Linked DNA regions of Ovis aries. The protein of the gene in region 4 interacts with the protein of the main gene of each other region in a pairwise test. Links are inferred from orthologs where the notes say so. Each region holds a gene or a part of one and is shown on either strand. Other genes may lie near its edges.

Evidence for each region.
Region 1: the proteins of DISC1 (region 4) and PAFAH1B1 interact in a two-hybrid assay, tested with the Homo sapiens proteins (2 studies listed by BioGRID and IntAct). The link is inferred for Ovis aries from reciprocal best matches to the Homo sapiens genes DISC1 and PAFAH1B1.
Region 2: the proteins of DISC1 (region 4) and ROGDI interact in a two-hybrid assay, tested with the Homo sapiens proteins (2 studies listed by BioGRID and IntAct). The link is inferred for Ovis aries from reciprocal best matches to the Homo sapiens genes DISC1 and ROGDI.
Region 3: the proteins of DISC1 (region 4) and IMMT interact in binary tests that used the Homo sapiens proteins (3 or more experiments, as listed by UniProt). The link is inferred for Ovis aries from reciprocal best matches to the Homo sapiens genes DISC1 and IMMT.
Region 5: the proteins of DISC1 (region 4) and RNF40 interact in binary tests that used the Homo sapiens proteins (3 or more experiments, as listed by UniProt). The link is inferred for Ovis aries from reciprocal best matches to the Homo sapiens genes DISC1 and RNF40.
Region 6: the proteins of DISC1 (region 4) and NEFM interact in a two-hybrid assay, tested with the Homo sapiens proteins (2 studies listed by BioGRID and IntAct). The link is inferred for Ovis aries from reciprocal best matches to the Homo sapiens genes DISC1 and NEFM.
Region 7: the proteins of DISC1 (region 4) and KALRN interact in a two-hybrid assay, tested with the Homo sapiens proteins (2 studies listed by BioGRID and IntAct). The link is inferred for Ovis aries from reciprocal best matches to the Homo sapiens genes DISC1 and KALRN.

The regions. Positions count from the first base shown.
Region 1 is NC_056064.1:23,452,190-23,456,062, forward strand, and holds part of PAFAH1B1 (platelet-activating factor acetylhydrolase IB subunit beta), read left to right. Parts: intron 1-681; coding exon 682-784; intron 785-1,500; coding exon 1,501-1,729; intron 1,730-2,902; coding exon 2,903-3,004; intron 3,005-3,873. UniProt on the Homo sapiens protein: Regulatory subunit (beta subunit) of the cytosolic type I platelet-activating factor (PAF) acetylhydrolase (PAF-AH (I)), an enzyme that catalyzes the hydrolyze of the acetyl group at the sn-2 position of PAF and its analogs and participates in PAF inactivation.
Region 2 is NC_056077.1:4,450,404-4,454,810, reverse strand, and holds the start of ROGDI (protein rogdi homolog), read left to right. Parts: upstream 1-1,397; 5' UTR 1,398-1,411; coding exon 1,412-1,456; intron 1,457-1,535; coding exon 1,536-1,607; intron 1,608-2,085; exon of another isoform or gene 2,086-2,139; coding exon of another isoform or gene 2,140-2,193; intron 2,194-2,304; coding exon 2,305-2,387; intron 2,388-2,655; coding exon 2,656-2,710; intron 2,711-3,413; coding exon 3,414-3,494; intron 3,495-4,138; coding exon 4,139-4,234; intron 4,235-4,407.
Region 3 is NC_056056.1:58,091,786-58,096,323, reverse strand, and holds the start of IMMT (MICOS complex subunit MIC60), read left to right. Parts: upstream 1-1,540; coding exon 1,541-1,585; intron 1,586-4,538. UniProt on the Homo sapiens protein: Component of the MICOS complex, a large protein complex of the mitochondrial inner membrane that plays crucial roles in the maintenance of crista junctions, inner membrane architecture, and formation of contact sites to the outer membrane.
Region 4 is NC_056078.1:3,975,700-3,979,572, forward strand, and holds part of DISC1 (disrupted in schizophrenia 1 protein), read left to right. Parts: intron 1-1,520; coding exon 1,521-1,747; intron 1,748-3,873. UniProt on the Homo sapiens protein: Involved in the regulation of multiple aspects of embryonic and adult neurogenesis. Required for neural progenitor proliferation in the ventrical/subventrical zone during embryonic brain development and in the adult dentate gyrus of the hippocampus.
Region 5 is NC_056077.1:27,406,802-27,410,674, forward strand, and holds part of RNF40 (E3 ubiquitin-protein ligase BRE1B), read left to right. Parts: intron 1-6; coding exon 7-434; intron 435-520; coding exon 521-638; intron 639-763; coding exon 764-913; intron 914-1,101; coding exon 1,102-1,314; intron 1,315-1,394; coding exon 1,395-1,520; intron 1,521-2,611; coding exon 2,612-2,752; intron 2,753-2,845; coding exon 2,846-2,947; intron 2,948-3,873.
Region 6 is NC_056055.1:40,765,941-40,770,581, forward strand, and holds the start of NEFM (neurofilament medium polypeptide), read right to left. Parts: upstream 2,966-4,641; 5' UTR 2,933-2,965; coding exon 1,853-2,932; intron 1,718-1,852; exon of another isoform or gene 1,542-1,717; intron 1,114-1,541; coding exon 989-1,113; intron 1-988. UniProt on the Homo sapiens protein: Neurofilaments usually contain three intermediate filament proteins: NEFL, NEFM, and NEFH which are involved in the maintenance of neuronal caliber.
Region 7 is NC_056054.1:189,285,509-189,289,983, forward strand, and holds the start of KALRN (kalirin), read left to right. Parts: upstream 1-1,592; 5' UTR 1,593-1,924; coding exon 1,925-1,997; intron 1,998-4,475. UniProt on the Homo sapiens protein: Promotes the exchange of GDP by GTP. Activates specific Rho GTPase family members, thereby inducing various signaling mechanisms that regulate neuronal shape, growth, and plasticity, through their effects on the actin cytoskeleton.

The DNA.
Region 1 (3,873 bases), on a different chromosome or scaffold from region 4:
TAAAGAGTTCTTTCCAATCATTGTATATTCCTTTAAATGATGTGATACTTAAGAGAATTTTCTGGGGCTTTTTTGCCATAGGATAGCTAACTAGCATTATGAATAATATATTTTATTTTTTTTGCTCCTGTGCACATCAACACAAAAAGCTTTCAACCACTAGTTTCTACATAGAGCCAAATGCCCATTTTTCTGATCCATTCTATTCATCTCTGTAAATCGTATTTCTATTTTATATCTTAGAATAGCAACCATGGAAATTTTTGTTTTGTTTTGCTTTTTAGTGCTCAAAAACATCCGATGTGTTAATATATTCAAATGCTGATGGTACCGATTACCTGTGATTTTAACACATTATTGGCTGGGACGTATTTGCAGAAATGAACACCGTATGGCATTAATAGGTCTTCAGTTAATAACTTGTTAAAATAGTTGTGCAGGTTGAAATGTAAATTGAGCTGGCTACTTATTTCATTGTGAATTGTTTTATTAGTTACTAATTCCTTAACAGTCCCTTATGTTTTTGTGTAAATCCAAGTTTCTTATTAAATTTATATGAACTCCCTTGTATTTAAAGTAGCTGTGATACTTGAAATCCCTGATGAAATCTCATGGTAAATTAAGGTTTAATTGCTCTTGGTGATACATTGTTTAACATAGTAACTGTGTTTTGTGTTTTAGGCCATGACCACAATGTTTCTTCAGTAGCCATCATGCCCAATGGAGATCATATAGTGTCTGCCTCAAGGGATAAAACTATAAAAATGTGGGAAGTGCAAACTGGGTAAGTAGATTTAGTTGAAAAGGCATCAGCTTAAAGAAATAATATTCAACAAAAAATCCAAAACTGTGTTCTGATTGTTCTTGTAAATTTGGTTGTAACCCAGAATGATTACCATGACAGTTACATTTTAAAACTTAAGTTTTAATCTTTAAATGTCTACCCAAAAGGAACAGAGAAATTATGGAAGAAACTCTATATCCTTGAGAGCCATTTTCTATGTAATGGCTTATTTTCTCTGTGGTCTTCTTTTAGGTGATCTCTCTGAGTTGAATTAAAATGTAAATAACATTTTTGCAGGTATGCCCAATTAGGCTTAATTTGGTTGTGCTTAGAATTACATGACTGTTATAATAAAGCCTTAACCTACTGGTTTTGTCCAGATTAGTAAGAGCATGCCTTTTCCCCAACATGGCTAGAAATATTTTTGTTAGGTTTACTGTGTGTGCTTAGTTAAAAGATTATATTTCTCTCTATTTTTTTCCTTCTAGATTTTGATTTGGTTAGCTCTTTAATGATATTTCCATCAGCTTATTTTAACTGATGTTTGACTTTCCAGCCTGTCTCCCTCTTTTATTAACCAGGAATGTACGTGTATTCTGTTGACTTGCATATGATGCCAATTCTCTTCGTTCCAGTGCATAGCTAGTCTTGTATCGCTTCTGGGAAGGGCCCCAGTGATTGCTGTTCACAGTGTAAATTATTATGTATTTTTATAGCTACTGTGTGAAGACATTCACAGGACACAGAGAATGGGTACGTATGGTGCGGCCAAATCAAGACGGCACTCTGATAGCCAGCTGTTCCAATGACCAGACTGTGCGTGTGTGGGTCGTAGCAACAAAGGAATGCAAGGCTGAGCTTCGAGAACATGAGCATGTGGTAGAATGCATTTCCTGGGCTCCCGAAAGCTCATATTCTTCCATCTCTGAAGCAACAGGATCTGAGGTAGTGTATGATTTGTGTTATTTCATGATTTTGTGGCTGTTACTATTTGAGAACCTTTAATGACCTTCCCCGAGTCTCTGTTTCATGCCATTATAAAATCTACATCCAGAATTCTGAGTCTTGAAATTCTTTCCAACTTGCAGATAGATGTGTTTATATTTTTTAACCAGTGGTTATTGTTGCTGTCAGTTGACCCTTGATGTGTGCTAGGGTTAGGGTAAGTGAAGTGGTCATTAAATTAATTATTATTGTCCCTGTTTTAAGAGTATACCAATACAAAATAAAACTTATGGGAGAAGTTAAAGTCGTCTTCTAGGAGAGTAGCTTTTCTCAGGACTTCAGTGGTGGTCCAGTGGTTAAAACACTCAGCTTCCTGATCAGGGAACTGAGATCCCACATGCCATGTGGCCAAAAACTAAAAACAAGAATAGCATTTGTTTTAAGTGAAGAATATTTCATATGGAGGCCTCTGATAGTCTTGATCATTTGTGTTCCTCATGATTTCATTCTTTGTAATTAATACTTGTAAAATTACAGAATAATTACTTCTGTAAATATTGTATGAGCCAAAATTCTTTTTTATAGTGACATTCCTATTGTGTTTTTTTTTTTTTAAATTTTAATAAATGAAGACACTCTCACCCTCACCTACCCCCAACCAATTATTTTTCAAAATGAAGCTGTTTTGGTAATCTCTTCCTAGTTGGCTGGCTCATTGCATTTTCAGGTTTGTTGGGTTTTTTTTTTTTTACTGCCACCTGGTGGTGGTTACTTACCACATCATAGATTCATTGTAGCTGGGGTAGTAACAGTCATATCCAACTCTTTGTGACCTTGGATGAATAAGTCCTGGATATCTAATGTACAGCACGGTGACTGTAGTTAACAGTACCGTATTGTATACTTGAAATTTGCTGAGAGGGTACATCGTTAGTGTTCTTTTCACAGAACACACACAAATGTGGTAATGTGAGGTGATAATTGTGTTAATTAGCTTGATTGTAGTAACCATTTGTATACATAGCTCAGAACAGTGGTATGCCTAAAATACATATCGTTTTTTGTCAAACAATGCATTTTTACAAAATTAGAAATACAGATCATTGTTGGGTAGTTGTCATTTAAGTCACCTAACTTCTTGCCCAGGAAATTTGATTTTTATGTTTTCTGTAGACTAAAAAAAGTGGCAAACCTGGGCCATTCTTACTGTCTGGATCCAGGGACAAGACTATCAAGATGTGGGATGTCAGTACTGGCATGTGCCTTATGACCCTGGTGAGTTTGCATAATTTCACTGCCGCTTTCGCATTTTTACTCTGTGCATATCTTTTAGGGTCAGGTGCCTTGTGGTTTCCTAGTAAATCTGAATTACTTGATGTTCTAAAATAACTTCTTTATAAAGATACTTTTTGGTTAAGAGCATGGTTACAGTGATATGGAGGTTATTTCTATAGACTATTACATTTTACAGTGGATCTGCAAAGCCAGTCAGTGCTAGGAGGGAGATTCTAGCCATTGTATCTCTAAAATTACGTAATATCACCTGTGAAATATGTAGAAAACAAATATTACAGACTCATGTATATTTTTTGAAACTGTGCTTCTTGATCTCATTATATTTACTTTTAAAATGAATCCCTTTAACTTACTATCTATTCTCATGTTCCAGTTTTATTTGGTTATTTTAAGCATTCAGAAATGAATAATATTACTTAGCAGCAGCAGCAGCTCTATGACTTGGAAATCTTTATTTCATTTAGGAGCCTATCTCATCCAGCTTTTAGTATGAGGATATATAAATTATAAGAAGATGTTATGGACTTTCTTGTTTGCCTTCAGGAGTTCTAAGGGGGCCCATGGACATTAATCCAGTGGCAGCTTGTATAATTTGGCATGCATGTTTGTTTTGAAGTGTTAATCTTAGGTGTTAATCGTATCTTGAAGCAACTGTCTTGTCTATGGGATATGGTAGACATGTATGGAAGTATCATCAGGAACTGATTGGCATTCTTAGAATGTTAGATTTCTAATAAAAAAAATAGATAATGTAGTATATTTTAAAAAGAAGAAGAACTGATTAAAAAATTAAACTTTCCTCTTAGTATTCTGAGCTGAGTTCAAATATACTATCTTGCTGTTTGAAA
Region 2 (4,407 bases), on a different chromosome or scaffold from region 4:
CAGCCTGACCAATGACAACCATTTCTTAGGTTCAGCTCTTGAAACAGAAATGAGTGTCTTCACTTAAGCCAGCAGCTTGGTCTTCGGTGCTTTCAGGGCCCTGGGGTCTGTCAGGAGAGAAGAGGAGATCTAGGCTTGACGTTACCAGAGCTCGCTGACCCTTGGAGGTGAATCAGCATTTCTCCTTGGATAGGGGACCACAGGGGCTTGGAACGTGGCATGAGAACAAGGAGAAGTCGCCTAAAGGATGTCAGTGTTCTCTCCGCCTGCATGGGTTGGATTCTCCAAAGTCAGGCTGTGCGGAAGTTCAGCGTTTGTAGTGCATATACAGTGATAAACACAATTTGAGGTGGCCACGCTGGTGTGTGCCCCTCCCCCTTGCAGCTTTGGCCCTTTTTCCACTGATCAGAACCCAGGATAGGGGATCTCAGAAAACATGGGGATGGGGAGGGCAAGGGAGATGCCTGTGGTTTTTGACACAGTTGTTAATTTCACTGGGATTTTGAATTCTTTTCTGTCTGAACACAAAGCCTGTTCTAGTCCTATAGCGGGACACTGGGGGGTGGGGGTTGGGGAAGATGCTGTAATGAAACTGGTTAGTCAATGTTGTCTTAATATTGTTGACAATTCTGTAAAGTTCCTTTTTATGAATATTTTTGTTTAAGCTATTTCACCTTTGTTTTTTGAGATCCTTCCCTCTTAAGGAGAAAATGTGACACTTGTGAAAAGCTTGTAAGAAAGCCCCTCTTCCACCACCCCTCCCTTTTTTTTCCTTTGAACCTTTAAATGACAAATCTTCTAGGTAATTAAGGTTGTGAATTTTTATTTTTGCTTTGTTTTTAATGAACATTTGTCTTTCAGAATAGGATTGTGTGATAATGTTTAAATGGCAAAAACATGATTTTGTGCAATTAACAAAAAGCTACTGCAAGCAAAATAAAAAACGTTTCTTGGTAACACAACTGTGACCTTGGTAGGGTGGTCTGCGCCCTGACACCGAGCACCACTCGGGAGAGAAGGGGGGGTTGTCCCTCCGGGACAAACTGAGCTAGGAGACGAGACCCGGCGGGAACCAGCTGACCCGGTGGCCAGTAGCCGGGTGCGGCGAGAGCGAGCCATACCGCCGGCCAATCGCCGAGCGCGCCTAGTGCAGGGCGTCCTATCAGAGCCGAGGAGGGGCGGGACGAGCGAGCGCCGCGCCCTGGCGGGTGAACCGCTGCGGATGCTGAAGCCAGAGCTCGCAGCGCCGCGGTGTTCGGCGCGAGCTGGCGTGGGCAGGTCCCCGGCGCTCTCGGGGTTGCGAGCTGGGGGCGTGGCGGGCGCCCGCGCAGCCAATCGGCGGCGAGGGTGGGCCCGGGCGCCGCCAGCTGACCGAGCACCCGCGACGGTCGCTGGGCAGCGAGCGACGGCGATGGCGACCGTGATGGCAGCGACGGCGGCGGAGCGGGCGGTGCTGGTGAGGCGCGCGGGCCGGGCCGGGCCAGGCGGGAGGCGGCCGCGGGCCGGGGCGGCTGACAGCGGGCCTATCCCCACAGGAGGAGGAGTTCCGCTGGCTGTTACACGACGAGGTGCACGCCGTGCTGAGGCAACTGCAGGACATCCTCAAGGTAACCTCGAGGACCTGTGCGGGCGCCCCCTCTCCCCCAGCGCGACTTCCCCCTCGGCCTCCCGCGGCTGCTGCGTACCCGACGCGCGGTGTTCAGACCAGGCCCTGCCCTCAGGCCCCGGACTCAGTCCTAGGACTTAAAAAGCGTCTAACCCGGGGCGCCAGCAGATAATTACCCAGTTCCACAAGCCGTCCTGCCAGGGCTGCGGGCCTGGATTGAGCCCCGGAGTCGGGGAAGCTACCCTTTGAAATTGACGTTTAATCTCCTATCTGAAGGACCCAGCATTTTGACCTCAGCCAAGTCCTCGATCTCTCTGGACCTCCCCTTTGCGAAAAGGAGATAGCAGTACCGCCCTCAGGGCTGTTGTGAAGATTTAAAAAAAACAGCCAATGGAAATACAAAAAAATGCCCAGGCGGTGCCTGATAAGGCTGGAATTACCGGTTGCCATGACTACTGTCTTCTCAGACTTTGCTCCCCACTTCCAAGCTCGTCAACCAAACGGGGAGGGTGTCTCTGGGTCCTCTATCCTGTATGGGACACACAGTAGGCCCCCAGGGAATGTGGAAGGAGCCGGTATGGGTTCAGGTAGGACCTGAAATTGGCCGTGGGGGAGGGGCCCTGGGAGCGGGGCTTATGGAGCAAAGGCTCGGCTGGAGTAGGTGAGCTTGGTTTACCCGACTCTCCTTTGCCCCTCAGGAGGCCTCGCTCCGCTTCACTCTACCAGGCTCAGGCACCGAGGGGCCCACGAAGCAGGAAAACTTTGTCTTGGGCAGCTGTGGGTGAGCCTGGGCTGGGTAGAAACCGTGGTAGGGTTGAGGGGTGGACTTCTGGGAGGAGGGACCCTTGGGGATACCCTCTAGGACTGGTGGCGTGGCCACAGCCCTGCCCTGTGGACTGATTCCAGCTCCAGCGGCCAGAGGATGTGCAGTGGGACAGGCTGGACTATCCTGTGACAGCCCGCGGAGAGGCTGGGGTGGTGGGAGGGGGCAGCTGCAGGTGGTGGGAGGGGGCAGCTGCAGGTGCTGCTCTGACCCCCACGTGTTGTAGCACAGACCAGGTGAAGGGCGTGCTGACACTGCAGGGAGACGCGCTGAGCCAAGCGGTGAGTCCCCCTGCCCCGGCCCCTTCCCATGCCACCACAGCAGCCAACGGGCAAGAGTCAGGGGTGGGTGGGGGGCCTCCTGCTTTAGCTCAGTTCTGCCCCCAACTAGCTGTGTAACTCTGGGCAGGATCCTTGACCTCTCTGGGCCTCAATTTCCTTGTTTGAAAATGACAACAACCCCTGTAACCTGCTTCTGAGGTTGGTGTGTTACTCCTTTGAGAGGTACAGCAAGTGAGGGGGTGGGTGGTGCTTTGCACACGGCACTACCTATAGTCTGGCCCCAGGGTTAGCCTGGCCCCAGACCAACATCTTAACTCTTTCTGCACTTGATCCTGTAGCAGGTGCCAAGGCCTGGGGGAAGGTCCCCCTCCTCCTTGGGTGGGCGTTACGTCCCTTGGCACCTGCAAATGTTCTCCATCTGCCCACAACCACACACCTCCTCCCTCCCAGCAGAAGCCACCTTCCCCTTTCGCGGCTGTTTTCCCTTTCATTTCTTTGTGGTTCCTTTTGGGCCTGAGTTCCTATTTCCTGTTCCCTGTTTGCCCCCACCCAAATGGCCATGTTCTTCCCCCTCTCCCACATGGAGTGGCTCAGACGTGAGCCACCACATACACTCTGCTTCTGCCCCCTGGCTCAAGGGCTTAGAGTGGCCGGCGGCAGGAGGGCATCCTTCTGCCCGGCTTAGCCCACCCTTGCCTGGCAGGACGTGAACCTGAAGATGCCCAGGAACAACCAGCTGCTGCACTTTGCCTTCCGGGAGGACAAGCAGTGGAAACTGCAGCAGGTAACTGGGCCCTTCCCCGGCTGGGGCCCAGGGCACAAGGGCAGGCAGGAACAGGCCCTTGCAGCGCTGAGGCCTCCAGGGCTGGCCGCTGTGAGGCCTTGCGGCTGCAGCAGGCTTGCAAAGATGTCTCCTAGCAGTGCAGCTGGGGTGGGCAGTGCCTGGTCTCCTAGCCTGTCCTGTAATTGGACCTGGCTTCTGCCACCTCCCTCTCCCCTCTCACTGGCCACCAGCTGTTTCCACTTCACGGCCTTTGCTTGGGCTTGTCCCTCTGCCTGGAGTCCACCCCCCAGCTTTTGCCACTGCACAAGCTTCAGCTTAAGAGTTGCCTTCCCTCACCGCCGCCCGCCCCCCAATCACCTTGTTTCCCTGTGAAAGCTGAGCAGTCTATTACCTTGTGCCTTTCCTCTGTTACCCTCTGTCCTCCTTTGGAAAGTGAGCTGCAAGGGACTGGGGACCGAGCCTGCCTCACTGCATCAGCCAGGCCCAGCAGGCGGCACCCACCCCACCCCTGCTAGGAAGATAGATAGGCCCCCTCGGGGTGGGGATCCCTAGGCTGGGCCCCCAGAGACCATGGGTGTTCTGAGGCTGGCACCTTTCCCTGCCAAGGCCCAGCCCACTGACCGCTCCGTGGGCCCTGCTTTTAGATCCAAGATGCCAGGAACCACGTGAGCCAAGCCATTTACCTCCTCGCCAACCGAGATGAGAGCTACCAGTTCAGGACGGGAGCAGAGGTCCTCAAGGTGAGCCACCTCAGGAGTGGGAGAGCCCAGTTCCCTGACCACCGATCGGGCCCCTGGGAAGCTCTGCCCCCACCCTCAGGTGAAGCTGAACGTCAACCCTTCACCTCTCGGTGTACGCCATGTCCTTCCAGCCAGTTGAATGGCTCACAGCCCAGGCCCCATAAACAGATGTG
Region 3 (4,538 bases), on a different chromosome or scaffold from region 4:
ATCACAATAAACTGTAGAAAATTCTGAAAGAGATGGGAATACCAGACCACCTGACCTGCCTCTTGAGAAACCTGTATTCAGGTCAGGAAGCAAAAGTTGTAACTGGACATAGAACAGACTGGTTCCAAATAGGAAAAAAGAGTATGTCAAGGATATATATTGTCACCCTGCTTATTTAGCTTATATGCAGAGTACATCACGAGAAACGCTGGGCTGGAAGAAACACAAGCCAGAATCAAGATTGCTGGGAGAAATGTCAATAACCTCAGATATGCAGATGACACCACCCTTATGGCAGAAAGCGAAGAACTAAAGAGCCTCTTGATAAAGTGAAAGAGGAGAGTGAAAAAGTTGGCTTAAAGTGCAACATTCAGAAAACTAAGATTATGGCATCTGGTCCCATCACTTCATGGCAAATAGATGGGGAAACAGTGGCTGACTTTATTTTTGGGGGCTCCAAAATCACTGCAGATGGTGACTGCAGCCATGAAATTAAAAGAGGCTTACTCCTTGGAAGGAAAGTATGACCAACCTAGACAGCATATTAAAAAGCAAACATTACTTTTTCATCGAAGGTCGTCTAGTCAAGGCTATGGTTTTTCCTGTGGTCAGGTATGGATGTGAGAGTTGGACTATAAAGAAAGCTGAGCGCTGAAGAACTGATGCTTTTGAACTGTGGCGTTGGAGAAGACTCTTCAGAGTCCCTTGGACTGCAAGGAGATACAGCCAGTCCATCCCAAAGAAGATCAGTCCCAGGTGTTCAATGGAAGGACTGATGTTGAAGCTGAAACTCCAATACTTTGGCCACTTGATGCGAAGAGCTGAGTCACTGGAAAATACCCTGATGCTGCGAAAGATTGAGGGTAGGAGAAGGGGACGAGAGAGGATGAGATGGTTGGATGACATCACCGACTCAATGGACATGAGTTTGAGCAAGCTCCCTGAGTCGGTGAAGGACATGGAAGCCTGGAGTGTTGCAGTCCATGGAGTTGCAAAGAGCTTGACACGACTGACAGGCTGAGCTGAACTGAACTGAATCTCCCTTAAGCAGGATGACTCCCTGAAGGGCTGCGAAACAAAAGGAACGCGCAGAGACCACACCATTGTTTACGTAACTTTCGGCAAATCCCTTTCTTTCTACGAAATATTCAGCTGACAGAAATGGCTGAGATAATTTCTTGCTTGAATTCTCGACGAGTCACACCTGCCTGGTTCCTGGGCAGACCAAAGCCTGAGTCTCAGATCCACCGCCAGCCCTCCCGCTTACCTAACAATCTATACTTCGGGTAACAGAGCCGACGTCTCAGCGCGACCCGGAAGGGGAAATCGCCCTTTCCGCTTGGAAAGGGCCCACCCTCTTCAAATGGCCGGGACAGGAGCAAGACGGGCCTGCGCATGCGCAGTGGCGTTTGCTGCCCTTCCGGTACGCCCGGCGCGGAGAGGCGGCACGGACGCAGGCACGCACGGACGCACCGTGTCCCCTACACGCGCCGCCGCCCTAGCTCCCAGTTACACCCGCAGCGGCGTCAGCCTAGTAGAGATGCTGCGAGCCTGTCAGTTATCCGGCGTGACATCCACCGCCCAGGTGAGGACGGGGGCGCCGGGAGACAGCGCATGGTGGGTGAACTGACCAGCGGAAAATAAGGGAGGCATTGGCTTTGCCTAGGCCCCAGGACAGAGGCGTGTCTCCGGACCGCCCTTATCGCGAGAGTCCTGGGTGGGCCCGTGAGGCAGTTAATTCGGGAGTTCGGTGGACGGGAATGACTGGAGGGTTATTGCTGAAGCGGGATGGGGCGTGGAGAAGAGAAGGTGGCGGGGAGGCGGGTGTAGGACGGGAGGCACGGCCTTGGGGACGTGCCATCCAATCAGCCCCTCGCTGCCTCAGTCTAGGACCAATCGAGGCTGCTGGCGCCCGGGTCGCCGGTTGGGCGCGTGAGAGGTTTCGCGGATCCAGTGGTTGAAGGTCGACGGGGGGGAAACTACAGTTCCCAGAGGGACGCGCATATTCTTGGCTTGTTGCACCTTAAGGAGGTGCCTGGACTGCTAGAGACCGCGTTTTAGGGGTCAAGGTTGTAATTATCCAGGAAGGACTGCCTTTCTTTAAGTAGCTGAGAACGCCTCTTGAGCTATTCTTACTCTGAACAAAAACAGAGTAAGAGCTCGAGCTTCTAGAACTCGAGGAAGGTTAAGCCCCTGACCTTGTGCACGTTTCTGAGATTAGCCTGAGGATCTCTGTCTCTAGGTGCTAGGACAACTTTGGCAGACGTCCAAGTAGTTACCTTTATTTCTGCATAATTATCATAGTAATTTTGGAGAAGGAAATGGCAATCCACCCCAGTATTGCCTGCAGACTGTCATGGACAGAGAAGCCTGGCAGGCTACAGTCCATGGGGTCGCAAAGAGTCGGACAGGACTGACCGACTAAGCACACACATCAAAGTAATTTACTGAAATTTAAAATAGTAAACCTACTTCCATTGCTCACAATTGAAAGAGAATTTGTATTTTGGCAAAATGTGGAATTTACAAAACAGGTTCTGTGACTCGAGCAATTGAGCAAAGTCCCTGGCCTCAGTGGGTTAGAAAAGTCAATTTTTTTCATTTCCTCCAAGTTTGCTTATCTTCCATCTCCCCTTTCGTTTCCAGGGTGAGAGAAGCAGGCTCTTCTGTAGGAAAGTGGAGTGTGTATTAGTTTTCTGTTGCTGTGTGTACATTTCAGGTAGCACAGATGGAGCAGCCTCAAACAGCACCCATTTATTACCTTATTGTTTCTAGAGGTGAATGGTTACCGTTATCTGCTTGCTGTCATACAGGGGTGCAAAGTGTGTCCCTGCTGTGGTTCTCTTTTGAGCTCAGGGTCCTCTTCTAAGCTCCTTCAGTTCGTTAGCAGGATTCAGTCCCTGCAGCTGTAGGGCTGAAGTCCCTGTTTTCTTGCTAGCTCCCACCTCACCTACCTGGGGGCAGCCTGAAATTCTTTGCCACAAGATTCTCAGAAGCAGTTTATAACATAGATGTTTACTTTCTTGCAGGCTACCATGAGCTTGTCTCTCAGACTTTAATATCTCTTCCCTGTTTCTGATTTCCAGACCTAGGTTTAAAAGGCTTATGTGATTAGGGCAAACCCACCTGGATAAATCCCTTTTGATAAATCAGGTCAACTGATTAGAAACCCCCTTATATCTGTAAAATCCCTTTTGCCTGTACAGGTCTAATCATGGGCTTAACCACTGGGGACAGAGATCATGGGAGGCATCTTAGAATCTGGGCTACCAAAAGCCAAGTGGGCCTGGGAGTATGAAGGAAGCGGAGCAATCTTTCAGGGCAAAACTGTAGAGGTGTATCTTTGGGGCCCTCCTTTCAGGCCCACTCTTCCTTATTCTGCCCAAAGGTTACAGCATGATTGTCACTGAACTGTCTCCTCAGTCTACCCTAGGGTCAGTTCTTTACCTTGTTGTTAACAAAGGCCTTTAAAAAAGCACATGGACTGGACCATGCCATGCCCTCCAGTGACATCCCATCGTATCACAATAAAGTCTAAACTCATTACCTATCCACAGGGCTCCTCATGATCTGGCTCTTTGCATATCTTTTTTTTTTTTACTCTGCCTCATTCTGTTCTTCTGATTGCCTTTTCATTTGCTGTTTGCCCTGAAGTCCTCCCACACATCTTTGCTTAGCTCACTCCATTCAGATATTTTCTTAGATATTACTTTTCTTTTAGAGAGGCCTTCCCTAAGACACCTCTGATCACTCTCTCCTTTGCATCACTCTGGAACCTACCCTTACCCTACTTGGTTTTACTTTTAGCTTTTATACTTCCTGACATACTGTGTATTAATTATGTATTTTCCACATTCAAATGGAAGCTCCTCAAAGGGACTGTATTTATATCAGTACTCATAATAGTCCCTAGCTCCTAATAGATACTCAGTAAATGAACATGTCACAAGTGTGACATGTTTGAATGAAAGATTAATGTGTTCTGTGAATTTTTCTTAATTTCCATAAGAGGATGTTCAGTTCAGTTCAGTTGCTTAGTCGTGTCTGACTCTTTGCGACCCCATGAACCACTGCAGCATGCCAGGCCTCCCTGTCCATTACCAATTCCCGGAGTCCACCCAAACCGTTGTCCATTGAGTCGGTGATGCCATCCAACCATCTCATCCTCTGTCGTCCCCTTCTCCTGCCTTCAATCTTTCCCAGCATCAGGGTCTTTTCCAATGAGTCAGCTCTTTGCATCAGGTGGCCAAAGTATTGGAGTTTCAACTTCAACATCAGTCCTTCAACATCAGAACACCCAGGACTGATCTCCTTTAAGATGGACTGGTTGGGTCTCCTTGCAGTCCAAGGGACTCTCAAGAGTCTTTTCCAACACCACAGTTCAAAAGCATCAGTTCTTTGGTGCTCAGCTTCCTTTATAGTCCAACTCTCACATCCATACATGACCACTGGAAATACCATAGCCTTGACTAGATGGACCTTTGTTGACAAAGTAATGTCTCTGCTTTTTAATATGCTGTCTAGGTTGGTCATAACTT
Region 4 (3,873 bases):
CTCCTCTGTCAATGGAATTCTCCAGATCAGAATACTCGAGTGAGTAGCCTATCCCTTCTCCAGGGGATCTTCTCGACCCAGGAATTGAACCAGGGTCTCCTGCGTTGCAGGCAGATTCTTTACCAGCTTAGCTACCGGGGATGCCTGGGTAAACAAAATGTGGTATATAAATACAATGAAGCATTTAAATTCAGCCTTTAAAAGGAAGAAAATTCCGACACACACTACAGCATGGATGGACCCTGAGGACATTATTCTAAGTGAAATGAGCCAGCCATGAAAGGACAAATACTGTATGATTCCACGTAGACACCCGGAGGAGTCAGAGTCACAGAGAAATAAAGTAGAAAGATGGCTTCCAAGGCTGAATGCAGGGGGAGAGGGGGGTCAGAGTTCAGTTTGGCAGGATGAAAAGAATCCTGGAGATGGATGGTTAAGATGGTAAGTTTTCTATTACTTGTATTTTACTACAGTGGAAAAAACCCAAACAAACAAAAACAGAAAGAATAGGGATGGGAATTCAAAGGCAGGAAGTAGGGAGGTGTGGTGGGAGACCCTGTCAGTGACACCATGATCTTGGACCACTGGGATACACGCTGTTGTCTTCTCAGCATGTCTTAGCCGTGGATCTTCAATACCTCCTCCTGTGTCTCTTCCCGCCCCTACTGGAGGAGGGGTCAGCAGGTAGATCAGGTAGGGTGGTCGGCATCTTGGGGTTGCGAGGACATGGGTGAGATGGGGAGACAGCCAGTATTAGAGCTGTGCTCTTATCAGCTGGCGGCCAGCGCAGGAACCATGGGCGTATGTTGATTAAAAGAGTCTCATTGGAGATTCAGGATGCTACGGGCACTGAGATGATTATCTGCCATAACGCTGTGTGCACAGCGGGCATTCAATTACCTGCTGCTTGTTTGGTTCATTGACCTCAAGATTGGATGATACTCAATTCTTGGGATTTGGGTTGTCATATTAGTGGAAATTAAATTTATTTAATATTTTTATGAACCTTAGGCTGCATAACCCTATCTGTGGCATCTCACTGTTCTTTCAATCCTTAGACTTAGGAAACTATGGCTTCTAGTCTTTCTCTGCATGCTGTATCTGCATGCTTGGGGGCAGACCAGCCAAGGCTTGTTTGCTTTTCCTTTTTTGGTCGTGTTAGCTGCTTTGCTGGCCTCTCAAGTCCCTGAAGTTTGTTGCACTCTGTTCTGGCTCTATCACCTGAAATAAGTAAGTGGTTTACATATTTGCTGGATTCTTCCAAGTCTAATTCTTGGCTCACCACCCGCAGTTATTTAATGCTTGGGAGGGAAGCTTTTTCCTTATGCCAGCTAATCAGAAATACAAAGCTGACATGATTTTTCCAGTTCAGCAAACCTCCAAAAATCTGCCCGCCTTCAAGGGGAGCTTCACGGCCCTCATGCAGGTGGCGAACTCTGCTGTAAAGAGAGAGTTCTCAGCAGTGTAGTCGACCATGAATGGGGTTAATTTACAAAACCTGCTCTCTCCATTCTCTGCAGAAAGAAATTGAGACCCTCCAAGCCAGGATGTCTGTTCTGGAAGCAAAAGATCAACAGCTGAGACGGGAAATTGAGGAGCAGGAGCGGCTTCTCCCGTGGCAGGGCTGCGACCTTGTGGGAGGGTTGTCCCTGGGCGAGCTGCAGGAGGTCACCAAGACCTTGCAGGACACCCTGGCCTTGGCCGAGCAGATTCCCCTCCGTGCAGAGCCACCTGAAGCCATCCAGAGGTACTGGTGATTTCCTAAGTGATTTTGGATCTCTCGCCTTGTCGATCTGTTTATGGGGTTGATTTAGTCTGCGGTCCTACATATGTAAACGTTGGGTTGGCCAAGGAACTTTTCCGTCAACTCAGTATTTTCCAAGCAGTGCTGTGTATTTTCAAGGGAAAGTACTCCCGGCATTTTGAGGGTCAAGGCCCTTCTTTGTGGGGGCAGCCCTGTCCACTGCAGGACGCTCTACACCGTGGCTACCCAGCCTATTGGGCTCCCTAGGTGGTTCAGTGGGTAAAGAACCCGTCTGCACTGCAGGAGACACAGGCATATACGAATCGATCCCGGGGTCAGGAAGATCCCCTGGAGGAGGCCATGGCAACCCACTCCAGTATTTTTGCCTGGAGAATCCCATGGACAGAGGAGCGGTTGCAAAGAGTCAGACGCGACTGAGCAGGATGCACACAGCCTGCTAAATGCCTCTTTCTCTCCATTCTGCTCAGCACCTTCCCCATTTCCTAACGCCCCCCGGGCGCCTTCTCTCTCTTTGGGATCTGTTGGAGTTTGATCGGTTGGAGAGTTTGATGCCAACAATCGTCTGGAGACAAGGGGAATGTTAGAAAGTGTTAGTCGCTCAGTTGTGTCCGACTCGTTGCGACCCATGGACTGTAGCGCACCAGACTCCTCTGTCCATGGAATTCTCCTTGCTAGAATACTGGAGTGGGCTGCCATTTCCTTCTCCAGGGGAATCTTCCTGACTCAGGGATCGAACCTGGGTCTCCTGCATGGCAGGCAGACTCTTTATCATCAGAGCCGCCAGGGAAGCCTGGAGGCAAAGGAGGGAATGAGCTACTAAGAGGGGAGACTCAATCAGTGACCAGGAAGAAGAGATGATCATTCATGACAACCAGCATTTATTGAGTCTTACTGTGTGTCAGGCGCTGTGCTAAGCTTTACGCGATGAGTGGCGTCTATTATTATATCCATTTCACAGATGAGGATAAGAGAGCTTAGGAAGATCAAATAGTTTGCCAAAGTCTCAATTGATAAGAGACAAAACTGATACTAAAATTCGTGTTTGTTGCATCAAAGCCTAGTTTCTTACCCGCTTGTGGAGGGAGAACCTTCCCTGTGCTCTCTGTTGAGGAAGACACAAGAAATACGTGTGGACCTCTGACCTTCTGGGAGGTCATTACCTTATTCTGGCCAAAGATGGAACCTGCCCCTACTCCTATTAGACAGAAGTCGAGCTGGTGGTGAGGCTTGAGGGTGCAGCGGGTGCAGCAACGAGGGGAATGAATGTGCTGCTCAATTACGCTGCAGGAAACACTCAAGAAAACCTTGCCACCTGTAGCGGCTGAGAATAGGGACTCTTGCTATCTACTCATCCATATATTAGTTGGAACCACTTATTATCGGGGGGCTGTTCCTCGGATGAACTGGGTTAAAATGTATCAATATAAGGGTCATATGATGGTGCCTGGGTGGCAGCACGCCCCTTTACTGTCATATAATGGTGCCTGTCCTTCTCATCACAGGGATTTCCATCTTCAGAAGCCTTCTAACTGCTGTCCAAATGTGTCTTAGACTGTTTAGCAAGTATCTGCCCTCTTACACATGCCACACTCGGTGGTATCAGCTGGGATGCTCGTCCAGGAAGATGCTCACCATGTCCTCCCCTCCCCGTCCCAGCCCTGATATTTCCCTGCAGAGCTTTAACCCTGGGCTCCATCCACAGGGAAGGGGAGGGCGTGTGTTGTTGCCAGATTTTAGTCAAAGGAAGCTGACCATCAAGCCTGCCTGTGCCCTTTCTCCTTCACCCCCACTCTACAGCCTTGGCCTCTGGGGACCTTTCCAACTCCTGCTTCCCATATCCCTCCTGTGGAAGTCTTTCTACACACACACACACACACACACACACACACGCACACACATGCGCACACACATGCACACACAAGCACACACATGCATGCACACACATACATATACACACACTTACACATGTGCACACACATGCATATACAAAGCACACACATGCACACACATGCACACACACGCACACACATGCGCACACACATGCACACACAAGCACACACGTATGCATGCATACACATACATATATACACACGCACACTTACACATGT
Region 5 (3,873 bases), on a different chromosome or scaffold from region 4:
TTGCAGCTCCGGGCCCAGGCCAGTGGCTCTACTCACTCCATCCCCAGCCTGGGCCACCCAGAGGACTCCAGCCTCAGTGCCCCAGTCCCAGGGAAAGAAGAGGGTGGGCCAGGCCCTGTTGGTGCCCCCGACACCAGGAAGGAGATGGCTTCCATGCCTGGCGCTGCCCTTACTACCTCGTCAGCGAAGAAGGAAGACCTGGTGCCCTCCGAGGAAGAGACGCAGGCCTTGACCCCGGGGGCCCAGGGACCCTCTTCCCGGGGCCGAGAACCTGAGGCCAGACCCAAGCGGGAGCTTCGGGAGCGAGAAGGGCCTGTTCTGGGACCCCCATCTGTAGCCTCGGCTCTCTCAAGGGCTGATCGGGAGAAGGCCAAAGTGGAAGAGGCCAAGAGAAAGGAATCAGAACTTCTCAAAGGTCTCCGAGTAGAGCTCAAGTGAGGTCCTGTTCTTTTCTCCCTCCCACCCCTGCCCAGTGACCTCCAGCCCTACTCACCCAGCCTTCCTCCTGTGCCTCCCCCAGGAAGGCCCAGGAAAGCCAGAAGGAGATGAAATTGCTGCTGGACATGTATAAGTCTGCGCCCAAGGAACAGCGGGATAAGGTGCAGCTCATGGCAGCGGAACGCAAGGCCAAGGCTGAGGTGAGGACAGGTAGGGTCTGTGGGATGTGCAAAAAGGCTGCCCCAGGGCAGGGAGTCGGTGACCAGAGTTGAGCCCTGGGTTAGCAGGAAGCAGTGATGAGAGAGCTCCCTCCTGGAGGTTATAGGTTGATGAACTCCGGGGCCGCATCCGGGAGCTGGAGGAGAGGGATCGGAGGGAGAGCAAGAAGATTGCGGACGAGGATGCCCTGCGGCGCATTCGTCAGGCAGAGGAGCAGATCGAACACCTGCAGCGCAAGTTGGGTGCCACCAAGCAGGTGCGACCCCCCACCCCACCCCACCCCTCCCCTAGCTTTGAATGTTGGCATTCCTTAAACCTCCTGGTCTAGCACATGGCCTGGGTCCACTCTGGGGGTCTTTGTACAGCCGTGTTTTCCTGCGGTTTCCCCATAGTTGATCTTGTCCGTCTCCCACGTTCCATCTTGCCCCTGCCCACTTGCTGCAGGAGGAGGAGGCCCTGCTGTCAGAGATGGATGTGACAGGCCAAGCCTTTGAGGACATGCAGGAACAAAACGGGCGGCTGCTCCAGCAGCTGCGAGAAAAGGACGACGCCAACTTCAAGCTGATGTCAGAGCGGATCAAAGCCAACCAGATTCATAAGCTGCTGCGGGAGGAGAAGGATGAGCTGGGCGAGCAGGTTCTTGGCCTCAAGTCCCAGGTAGGGCTGCCCCAGGCTTGGTAGGGTGGGACTGGAGAGGCAGGGGTTCCCTAGCACTGAGGCCCCACTCCTGTCCTCAGGTGGATGCCCAGCTGCTGACCGTGCAGAAGCTGGAGGAAAAGGAGCGAGCCTTGCAGGGCAGCCTTGGGGGTGTGGAGAAGGAGCTGACACTGCGCAGCCAGGCCCTGGAGCTCAACAAGAGGAAGGTGAGGCAGATGACCTGGGCCAGGGCCTGGCTCTGCTGCCCTACACAGCCCCGTTCACTCTCAGACACTTAATGTGTGCCAGACCCTGTGCTGAGGACTTTCCCTGTTGGGTCATGTTTCGCCTTAAAGTAATCCTACAGCAGTTTTCATTGTTATCTCCTTTTCTGTGAGGGAGAAGGCTGAGGTTTAGGGAGGTAGTTGACTTGCTCAAGAAAGAGTGGAAGTGGAATTTGGGCCCAGCTCTCCTTGACTCCACAGCCCATATCCTGACCACTGCACTGTTTAGCTGTCTCTGTTACATAGTTGTATTAACCCTAAGAAATGTCTCTAGCTCGTGGTAGTTGTTCTTCTGAGGGGAACAGAGTTAGGAATGACATCACTCCTCCAGGTCATAGTAAAGGCTTAACATGGATTTTCATCTCTTTTCTTCTCCTGGACTTCTCTCTGTTTGGTCCATTCGTTTAAGCAGCATTAGTCATGCTCTTGCTGTGTACCAGTACTGCACTGAGTGCTGGGGAGATCACAAGAACAAATCACCTCTGCTGGAAGTGGGAGCTTCCAGTTAGGAGGGGCAGAGAGCAAGCCGATAATCCCACAGATTAAGTAACACTGTTTCAGATCACAGCATGTCTTTGTTTGGCTGCAATGCACGGCAGCAGTGAAGGCCCGGAATTCTAACCACATAACCGCCAGGAAACTCACAGCATGTCTTATGAAGGAAATAGAACTGTATGAAAGGAAAACAGGAGAGCCTCTCTCAGGAGGTGACATTTGAGCTGAGGCTTCAGGGAACTTCAGAGAAAAAGTCTGTGTGTTGGCGGAGTTGAGGGGAGCAGAGAACCCTGTGGAGGCTCAGAGACAGGAGAGAGGGTTATGCAGGTCAGGAGCCAGAAGTGCTGGGAATGAGGAAGACGAGGAGGTGAGGCTGGTGGGGTCAGGAGACAATCGGTTTCAGTGAACATATTGGGACTACTCCCAAGAGCAGGAACCACTGGACAGTTGACATAAGCCTCTGTGGGCCATGGCTCCACACACTTGATTCCCCAGGCTCAGGCCAGCTGTGCCCCTCCTCCCCATTCCACCCACCTCAGGCTGTGGAAGCAGCGCAACTGGCCGAGGACCTGAAGGTGCAGCTGGAGCACGTGCAGACACGGCTGCGAGAGATCCAACCTTGCCTGGCCGAGAGCCGGGCCGCGCGGGAGAAGGAGAGCTTCAACCTCAAGAGGGCTCAGGTGTGTGGTCGGCAGGGGGTGGAGGCAGGGCCGGGGCCAGCAGGTTTGGATTGAGGACCCTTGCACTCAAGACTGCCCCCTCTCCTGCCCCAGGAGGACATCTCCCGGCTGCGGCGCAAGCTGGAGAAGCAGAGGAAGGTGGAAGTTTACGCAGACGCTGATGAAATCCTCCAGGAGGAGATCAAGGAATACAAGGTAGGGCTGTGGAGCTAAGTTCTGCCCCGTGAACCTGGGAAATCTCAGATTGGGGGTTGGTGAGAGCTCCAGGGGGTAGTCCGGGGAACCCAGAAATAAGGTAGGATAGCAAAACCTGGGCAGAATCCATTGTGGAGAATCAAGAGAGCTCTCAAGTGTGGTGCACATATACTCCATACCAGGTAGAGTGCTGAGTGTGGGAGGAGTGGGACCTATACCTGACCTTGGGTCTCTTGAAACTGACAGTCTGGTGGAGGAGGCAGCCAAGTAATTCTTCCCTCTGAGTGATGAGCAGTGTGATGGCAAAGGCCAGAGGGGTTGGGGGCAGTCAGGGGAAGCCCTTAATAGCCCCTGAGCACAGTGGGGAGTGGGGCACGGTCAGCCAGCTTCCTGAAGGCATAGCCTCCAGGGGAAAACGGAAGAGAGTCAGGGTTGGCCATGAGGGATGGAGATGAAAGGGTCCAGCAAACGGAGAGGTGGAGGTGGAGGCCCCTAGTTGAGCGAGGCGTGCTGGAGGCGCAGCTGGACAGCGGTAGCTAAGAGGACAGAACTTGGGCTTTTGATGAGTCACAAGCCTGGGGGGTGGGGAGGGGCCATCCTGAAGGTTAGTGAGCCAGGTTGAGATTCTTGGTTTATTCAGTAGTCAGTGTGGAGACATCCAAGGGTTTTAGGCTGGAGAGTTATGTCTCAAGTATATTGAGGATGAGGTACTTACTCGTGGGACTTCTGGGGAGGCTGTCTGGGAGGACAAAGCGAAGGGCTGATGTGGAAGACAGAGGCTTTGGGGGATTGTCAGCAGAGGCAAAGGCAGAAGCCACGTGGAACTGGTCACTCAGGGAGGGCCTGTGGCCTGAGACGAAGCAGGGGTCATTTTCCCTGAGCAACCTCAAAGCTTGAATAATGGACAGAGGAGGGATTTCCCTGGT
Region 6 (4,641 bases), on a different chromosome or scaffold from region 4:
CTCAGCTCTGCCTCAGTCCTCATTTGGCGCAATATGAATATGCCGATAAGCTCCCCAGAGGCTCTCCAAAAGCCTTAAAGTCACCTTCTTAAGCATTTGGACTTTCAGGTGTATATGAAACATCTTTTAACAAATATAATATTCAAAAAATTTACAAAGCTATTTAGAATACATCAGAATTCAGGCTATATATGTCATAGCTGGGTGATAATATACATGTATTATATAAATTAGTCTGTAATTTTAATCATAAAGTGTCTATTTTATGTAATTTTTCACCTTTCCTGAAAACTTAGATGGCTCTGAGTTGAGTGCAATTTATTCTTGTAATATGAATGACTTAAATGGGGAAAATAAAACTGTTCAGCCAAGAATTTTCCCCTATGAACTTAACAGCAAGGTGACATCAGTTTTTATATATATATATATATATATATACATATATATATATATATATATATCTTCTCCTTCTCTGGATGTCTATCTATCTAGATCTAGAAATAGAAGTCTGAATAAAAAATAAATATTCTACCAATCATATTTATTCTAAGCCAGATGATGGCAATAGTAAACTGTGACTAAGAAAGGGATAAATGAAATGTCCTGGTGTTTGTCCTTGACATCATAAAGTTGAAAAATTGAAAGCACTAGAGAAAAATATTAAAAAAAATTAAAACTTTTTATTTCAAATATTCGGAAAGTATTTTTCACTAAAATAAAAAAGGTTAAGCATAAGCACTGAAATTAATCGGCGCTCTCCCTCAAAACACTTTTTATTCAAATACATTATTTTAACTGTTTACTTTTTTTAAAGCTGCATAAAAGTTGAAATATTTTAGAGTAACTACTTATTAATTAAGGAAGAAAACCAGGCACTGAGTTAAGATTCCTGCAACCTACTTGCTTTAACTTAAGTGGTGAAGGTTCTGCCAACATGGCCTCTGCAGTGCGGCTCGTACTTTGGCCACGTCCGCAGTGAACACCCTACCTGTATGCGGCGATCTCAATATCCAGAGCCATCTTGACGTTGAGGAGATCCTGGTATTCTCGCAGATGACGAGCCATTTCCCACTTTGTGCCCCGAAGCTCATTTTCCAGCTGCTGGATGGTATCCTGAAACCGACACAGCCACAAAATCATCCTTCCAAACAGCCACTTCTTTCGCAAAACACTTGCTACCCCCTCCAGCTTCCTCCCCTCCCTCGACTCCCTCCAGCTTGGCGTACTTCGGGTACTAATGCCAGATCCCGTCCCCGCTTAAAATAAAAATCTAAGGAACTGAGAAACAAACAGAATCAATAAGACAATTAGACGTTTCCCGGGCATGTCACGCACTAGGACCAGTGGATCTAGAACGTCTCAGCAGGAAACAAACATCCATGGGGAACCCCCCACGGCTGATCTGGCCCTTCCCATCTTAGCCCTTTGGGCTGAAATCAATTTTGGGAATTCTTCCGATCGCAGCTGGAAAAGTTGAGAATACATGAGTTTCTTCACGCCTCTCCTAAAGTTGCTGCTTTATCAGCTACCCCAACGTATACCTCCTACTTGAAACTCGCAAGCGTGCAAAACTAGAACTTCCGAGGAAAAGAAGCACGTTTTGGAAAAGGCCGAGGCTCTTAGAGCTGTGGATGGTGTGCGGGGGAGGAGTCCGGAGGGAGCGCGCGGAGGGGGCGCGAAGGGGCGAGGAAGCTTTGAGCTTCCAACTTGGCTCTGCGGCGAGCGCGCGCGCGCTCACTGGCTAGCGGCCGCTAGGGAGCGCGGCGGAGAGCTCGGCGGGGCGCGGGCCTGAGTGTCGGGGGCGCGCGGCGCTGGCGCTGGCGCAGGCTGGCCGCGCAGCCGCGGTTCCTACCTGGTAGCTGCTAAGGTCGTGGTTGTGGCGCTCCTCGATGTCGCTGAGCTGCCGCTCCAGGGACTCCTTGGTGCCGCGCACTGACTCGAGCTCGATGCTCTTGGACTGCAGCTGGCGCCGGTACTCGGCGATCTCTTCCTTGGCGGAGCGGATGGCTTCCTTGTTCTGCTCGGCCGCCTCGGTGAGCTTGGCGTAGCGGCACTTAAACCACTCTTCGGCCTGGTGCATGTTCTGGTCGGAGTGACACTCGAGCTGGGAGCGGATCTCTTTCAGCGCCGTCGAGATGTCCGTCTTCAGGTAGTCTTTGCGCTCCACGGTGATGTGTGACGCTTGGATCTGGGCCAGCAGGTCGGCCACCTCCTCCTCGTGATTGCTCCGCAGGAAGGCCACCTCATCCTGCAGCGACTGCACCTTCTTGTCCAGCTCCACCTTGACCAGCGACGACTCCTCGATATCTTTGCGCAGCGCGCGGATGGCCGCCTCGGTGTCGTCGCGCAGCCGTGCCTCCTCCTCGAAGCGCTCCTTGAGCCGGTGGATGTCCTCTTCCAGGTGGTCCGAGTCCAGCTGTACCTGAGCCTTCTCGTGGTTCACCATCTCCAGGGTGGCGCGTAGCTCGCGGATTTCCTGGTCGTACGCGTCGCCCAGCTGGGCGTGCGAGGCCTGCTTCTGCCGCAGCGCCTGGATCTCCGCCTCGATCTCCTTGTTTTGCTGCTCCAGGTAGTGGACCTTCTCGATGTAGCCCGCGAAGCGGTCGTTCAGCCCCTGCAGCTGCTCCTTCTCGTTGGAGCGGGACAGCTTGTAGTCGCCGCCCGGCCCAGAACCGCCGTTAAGCAGAGACGAGGACTGGCTGAAGTCGAGGCTGCTCTCGGCCGAGCTGAGCATGGCGGAGCTGTAGGTGAGGCGCGGGGCCAGCGCGCTGCGCTTGTAGGAGGAGGACACGGTGCTGGGCGAGCCGCGGGACCACGACTGCGAGCGGAAGCCGCTGGACGGGGAGCCGCTGATGCGGCTGAAGCTCGAGCGGGTTTCGGTCACCCGCCGGTAGGCGGACGGGTTGCCCAGCGAGTCCAACGTGTAGCTCATCTTGGAGGCCTCGGGGTGTGTGGCTGTCACAGCGTTCTGCTGGCCTCGCCGCAGCCCATTTATAGCCGCGGCGGCTGGTCCCCGGGCCAGGGCCCCGCCCCGTGGAGGCGGCGGCCGAGAAGGCGGGGACTGCGGGCACCCGGCCGGGAGAGGAGGGGGAGGATGGGGGGTGAAGAGAGCCCAGCAGTGATTCAGCGCCCGCTCCACGTGGGCCCACGCCGCATCGGACCCTGGACTTCACTGCCTTGGGCCCGGCCCCTCCCCCCAGCACTTCTTTCGGTGCCAGACCACCTGTCTTTCCCCGAGCCCCCCTCTCCATTTCTCTTCACCTTCAGATTGCATTTTACACCCTCGGTGGGAATATTCACCCAAAGTGCTTTCTTTGTTTAGTCACTCTCCCGCCGTTCGGGCAGCTTTTCTAACGACCCCCCTGGCCACCTTTTTTTTTTTTTTTTTCCCCGCTTCTGTACTCTTATCCTCATACTTTTCTCTTCTTTTGCCCTTTCTCTCTTACTTTTTTCTTTACCCATATTCTGTGCTTAATCACTTCCCCCTGTTTTTGGCATCTCTTCGCCCTCCCACTTTAAGCCTTCTTTAGCTCCACTCACTCCTCCCTTCTTTCAGAGCCCCTTCCTCCTGGACCTTTTTTTCCCCCAGCCTTTCCCCCTACCTTCTCCCTCCTCCCCTCCCCCTTCCTCCCGCCCCTCCTCCAGCCTCGTCGCCCCTTGCCTCCCTCCCCTTCCCCCACTCCCTGACTTAAAGCAGCCCGAGATGAGCGCAGGCCCCGAGTTGGGCCTAGAAGAGAAAAACAAAAAGACTTTGAGGAACGGTCAGCCTGAAGTCTTCGGGAAGGGGACAAAGCGGATGGGCTGGGGTATTTATTTGTTATAAAAGTGGGATAAGGCGCTGCATCCTGCTTAACGTTTGGGGGACGTCCGCAACTTCCGCAGGGGCAGAAGGTAAGGCGCTTGTGTTCGCTATGGCGCCGGCAGCACCAAGGACAGCGCCCAGCACGGCTTGCTGGAAGATTCAGCCGCCCTGGGGGTTTGTCGCCCAGCTAGTCTGGTTAGGTTGGCGGAGGTTTCCTCCCTGCTTTCTATAGTAGTAAATACGGTTAAAAGCCAGTTAGTAGTGACTCTGTTTGAAGGAGCCAAACTGGGATCGCACGTAAAGATCTCTCTGCAATGCAGGGTTGGCACAGAACAGACTGCAGATTTGAAAACAAAATTCTTTAAAATCAGGTAACAGAGATAATATACTTGTAGCCAAGTTTGAGTTTTCTAACATGATGGAAGCAGGAAATCAAGACATACAGAACTTGAAATTTGAAGGTCAAGTACTTTTTGGAAAGGGGAATTTGAAATCTGTTGAGATGAAAAGTCCAGGGAAATATAGTTTATGATAAGTTTGAACAGAAGCAATTGCTTTGTCATCTTTCTGTTCAGTAGTCCCTGTATCTAACTGCCATGACTGAAAAGCACTGAGTTAATTTCAAATTAATTGGAAAGTTCCCAAACGGATTCACCACAACTTTGAATAAAACCAGATTTTTTTCCTTACATTTAGATTTTAGTGACTGATTTGCTATAGATTATCTATATTTTTAAACATGTTTACTTAAATAAGAAACCTACACAGACTTCCTGCTGTCTGGTGCACTGCTAACTGTTAAAATGTCCCTTTATTTTGCATTGTGCTTTGGGGGTAAT
Region 7 (4,475 bases), on a different chromosome or scaffold from region 4:
CATTCAGTAAGGAAAGTAAGGAGTACAGGGAACCAGAAAGGGTTCACTAAAAACGCATTTAAATCTATTTGCTGTTAAGAGTTAGCTGGTTGTAGATCTGGAGAGGTTCCAGGTGCTTTACCTGGAAAGAGATGGAACCAAGTAGGTTACCAGTGATGACAGATCTGGGAGATTCTGGCTGGTGGGTAGCAGTCCATCAGCTTTACACTACATTATCTGATTTTCCTATTAGGTGTGTTTTTAACACATTAGGTCAGGCCACAGCCTCTCCATCTGTCTGGATGAGGTAGCAACAACAGCCTCCAACACACCACATTAAGTACTCAGGTCTAAAGAGCCTCTGTTTTGTAAGCTTTGCAGTCACTAGGACTATAAACAGAATACTGGCTAATTATTGTTTAATTATTGCTTAAAAACCAATTGGCACAATACAATCACTGCATTAATTACCCCATACAGCATCTGTTTTCTTTTTTGAGGTCTTCCCCATTCCTCTCCTGTCCCTCTCCCCACTTTAATTGAAATTCAGCTTGCTGTAACACCTCCTTTCTCCTGGCCAACTGGATCTCTCCATTCACACGAGGCAGAAGAACAAAACAGAGAAGGCCTCGGGGATTAGGGAGTTTGACAGCTGTCCAAGAGGAGCGTTGAGACACTGGCCAAGTACCGAGGCAGGACAGAGACAAATGGGAGACAGAAGAGGGTCACGGAGGGAAAGATAGGCAGGGGCACATCGCGAGAGAAATGAACTGGACAAAGAGTCACCGAGACAGGCAGAGGTGTTTACAGGGGCGCTGAAAAGAGGGGGGAAGGAAGAGAAAAGCTTTAAAAAAAAAAAACCAAACACCAAAAAACCAGAGGAACTAAGGAGAGTTGGTGAGGAAAATGCGAAAGGCTCAGGAGGTCAAGGAGACAGAAGGGAGCTTGTCGAGAAGGAGCGGGGAAAAGTCCAGCCTCTAGAGACAGATCAGCCCATCTTGGGGGACAGGCAGCTTGAGGGGGGTCGCGGCTCATACACCTGAGAACGGGGTGGGGTGGAGGAGGCGGCCGCCGCCGGGCGGGAGTAGGAACAGCGCTAGCGGCGAGGCTGAGCACGCGGGGCTCAGGCGTCCGAGCCCCCTCGGCAAGCCCGGCGTGCGCCCGGCGGCCCAGGACGCGCCCGGCGGCCCCGCCCCCTCCCCGGCCGCCTCCTTCGCCGGGGCTTTTCCTGCGGGGCTCAGGAAGCCGGCCTAGCACAGCCGCGAACAATAGCTCGGGGCCCGGGCTTGGCTCCTTGGAGAGGCCGGCGCGGGGAGGCGGGGGGAGGGAGGCGTCCGCGCCGCCGGGGGCCCGCGGCGAACCCCGGCCCGGGCCGAAGCTTCAGTTGAGCTCGGCGCTGCCCCGGGCATTGTTGGCCGCGACTGAGGAGCGGGAGCCGGGGGAGGAGCTGCGAGGCGGCGGCGGCTGAGGGAGCCAGAGGGGGAGCCAGAGAGCGAGCGAGGGAGGGAGGCTGAGAGCGTGCGGGCGATAGAGCGAGGGAGGGAGGAGGTAGAGAGACAGGGAGGGTGGGAGGGAGGAGGAAAAATAAAGAGGAGAGCCGAGCAGGGCTGAACAATAGAGACAGGCGGACGGGCGAGAAGGAGAGCCAGCTGCCGCTGCTGAGGGAGAGCGGGCGCCCAAGCAGCTCGGACCCCGGCCCGGGCAGACCGCAGGCGGCCAGCGCCCCCCGGGGAAGGGGGACCATGGGGGAGCCCGCGGCAGGCGCCCCCAGCCCGCCGTGCGCCTCCGCCTGAGGGAGCCTCGGCGTCCTCTGCCCCAGCCCAGCCGCCCCGGCCGGCCGCCCTCGAAGCCCGGTGTCCGCAGCCCAGCGCCCGCCGCCCACAGAGCAGCGCTCGGCCCCGGGCTTGGCCGCCCCCCGGCTGCCCGTGGACGCCCTCCCCCAGTCATGAACCCCCCGGAGGGGGCAGCGGAGGAAGGAGGAGCCGCCGACTCGGACGTGGACGCCTTTTTCCGGACAGGTAAGCTGGGCAGCTGGGGAGCTTGGGGGGGTGGGGCGGGTGGGGGGCTGCTGCCCTGGACGCGGCTTCTCGGACAAGTTTGGGGAACGAGACTGTTGCTGGGGCGGGCGTGTTGGGGGGTGCTGTCCCCCTCGTCGTCCGGGCCGGAGTTGCCGAGATTCTTGTTGTTATGGCAGTGCTGGTTGCGTTTTGGAGAGGGGTGGGGGCTGGGAGCTTGGCGCCCCTCGGCGTTCACCCCACTTGCGGGAGTCTGTGTGGGGAGGCGGGAGGCGGTCCCGGTGGGCCGCCTTCTCCCCGAGCGCGGGGATGGGGCGAGGTTGGATCACTTTGCAGCGCGCCGCTCTCGCTCCCGGCGCCCCCGCCCCTCCCTCGGCTCCCCCTCCCCCTAGCGCCTGTCAGCCTGGCTCTGGCCGCCCCGCGCCCGCACCCCTGCTCCGGGCCACGGGCCCCGGGCCCTGATATGCAAAGAAGGACCGGGAGTCGCGCAGGCTGCAGCCTGACAGTCAGGAGCGGGGCGGACGGTGGACCGCGGAGCCTGATGTGTGTGAGGAGCCGGGCGTCTCAGACTTAAGAGGCGGACTTGGCTGGGAAGGCGGTGGGCGCCTAGGACCTCGTCCTTGTCCTCCTCTTCTTCAGTGATGGGAACGCAGGAGCTTTTGATAAAAATCACTCATTCTGGACGTGTGAGTTAGCGTCCCCCTCATACACACCCACTGAATCTTTGCTTGCCTGTGGTATGTAGAGCTCCCCCGCCAGACCTGCTTTCACGGTTGTTCTTTGCCCCCGCCACCACCCAGTCCTGGGTCTGAGTCGCAGGTTCCTTGCCTGCACAGCCCTTTTCCCAGAGCAGATGCCGACCACTCTCCTCTCCCACCACCTGTGGCCCTGTTTCTCTGATAACCAGGGTTTCTCCATCTCCTCTTTACCTGTGGCTTCCACCAACTCAGTAGGTAGAGCTCCCCATCTTCCATATCTGGAACCATTTTGTCTGGAATCTTTGTCCCAAAGAGTCCAGTAAGTTATGGGGACCCCCTCTTTCTGTAAATTGGGTTAAAGCGCGTGAACTGGTGGGGTCAGGGAACAGGTTAGCTCTGGAGGCTCCCTGCACACCCATCTGTTTCCTAACCTCATTGCCCTGCCCTGGAGGTCATCTGAGGGGAAGGGGTGGGGTGCTTTGTTGGGGAGACTTGTGGCTTTAGAAGTCAAGAGTTGGTCGACCCATATGTTCATTTTCTAGTTGGTCTGAAGAGTAAAGAGGTGGAGGACAGGAGCTGATGCCAGAGCCTGGAGAAAACAGGAGCCCCTGTTATCCTACCCTGCTTCTCAGGGCTCAGCCTTGTCTCCTTGTTCCTTTTAACCAGTCGTGGTTTCTAATATACACTGCCGCCTGGCCCGTCCCCCTCCCCCCACCCTTACACTCACATATGCACTGCCCAGGAACCAAGGCACGAATTCTAAAAACGTGCCTGACCTGAGTTTATAACCTTAGATTATAGTCTAGGAGAGAGGTTCTGGGGGTTAAGGCCTATCTGGAAACATTCACCAGGACGTCTTCCCTGACTCCCCCACCTGGCCCCACTCCTGTCTCTCATCTGGCACAAAAGTCTGCCTTTCCTTAGTTCTGGGGAAAACTCCTGAAGTATGAGCTTTCCGACCTTCCCTTTCTGGACCTACTTTTATCTTTTGGCATCCATTCCTCCTTCCCATTTTCTACCATCCAAACAGTAGTTCCTATCCGTTCTCCTCCCAGGCACTTGGAGCAGATCTCAAGTTTCTGGAGGCTTGCTAATTTCTGACAAATGAATTCACACAGTGTTAATGGTGTTAATGACCTATAATGGTCCAATGTGTTACTTTTCCCAGGGCCTTTCAAAATACAACATGGGGCTTACATTGTCTAGCTCTGGCTAAAATCACAGAGTAAATAACTGACTGGGGACTGTCTCCTGTGGAATCCTGCTGGGGGTATTCTTCTTCCTTCTTGGGCAGCCTTATGGTGGGGGTGGGGGCTAGGTTTGATGTGCTCTTCAAATCAGAGAAGGGTGAAATCTACAACAGATAAGGCTGGAAATGACTGACAATGTGTAACAAGTTGTAAGAGGGGAGGCAGGCTATCTGTGGTAGGGTCTAGGACCACCATCCACCTGAGTGGCCCTCTGTGCTCTGCTTTCTGATCTTACTCCCTTCCAATCTCTAGCCTGGGGATTCTTAAACCTGTAAAAGACCATATTTCTTAACTGTCTCCTTTCTGATCCCCCAATCTTTATGGAATATAGTGCTCTACACCTGGTAGGTTGGACAGATTATAAATTTATTTAGTCGAACCACTGAGAAAGCTTCAAACACATTTTCAAAGTCCCTGGGGCCAGGGTTACCCCCTGCTTTCTGGTGGAAAATTTTGCTCATATAAAGACCAGACTGGCAATTGCTTTGTCAAAACTCTGGCATACTCTGCCTCTAATTAGGCATGTTTCAACT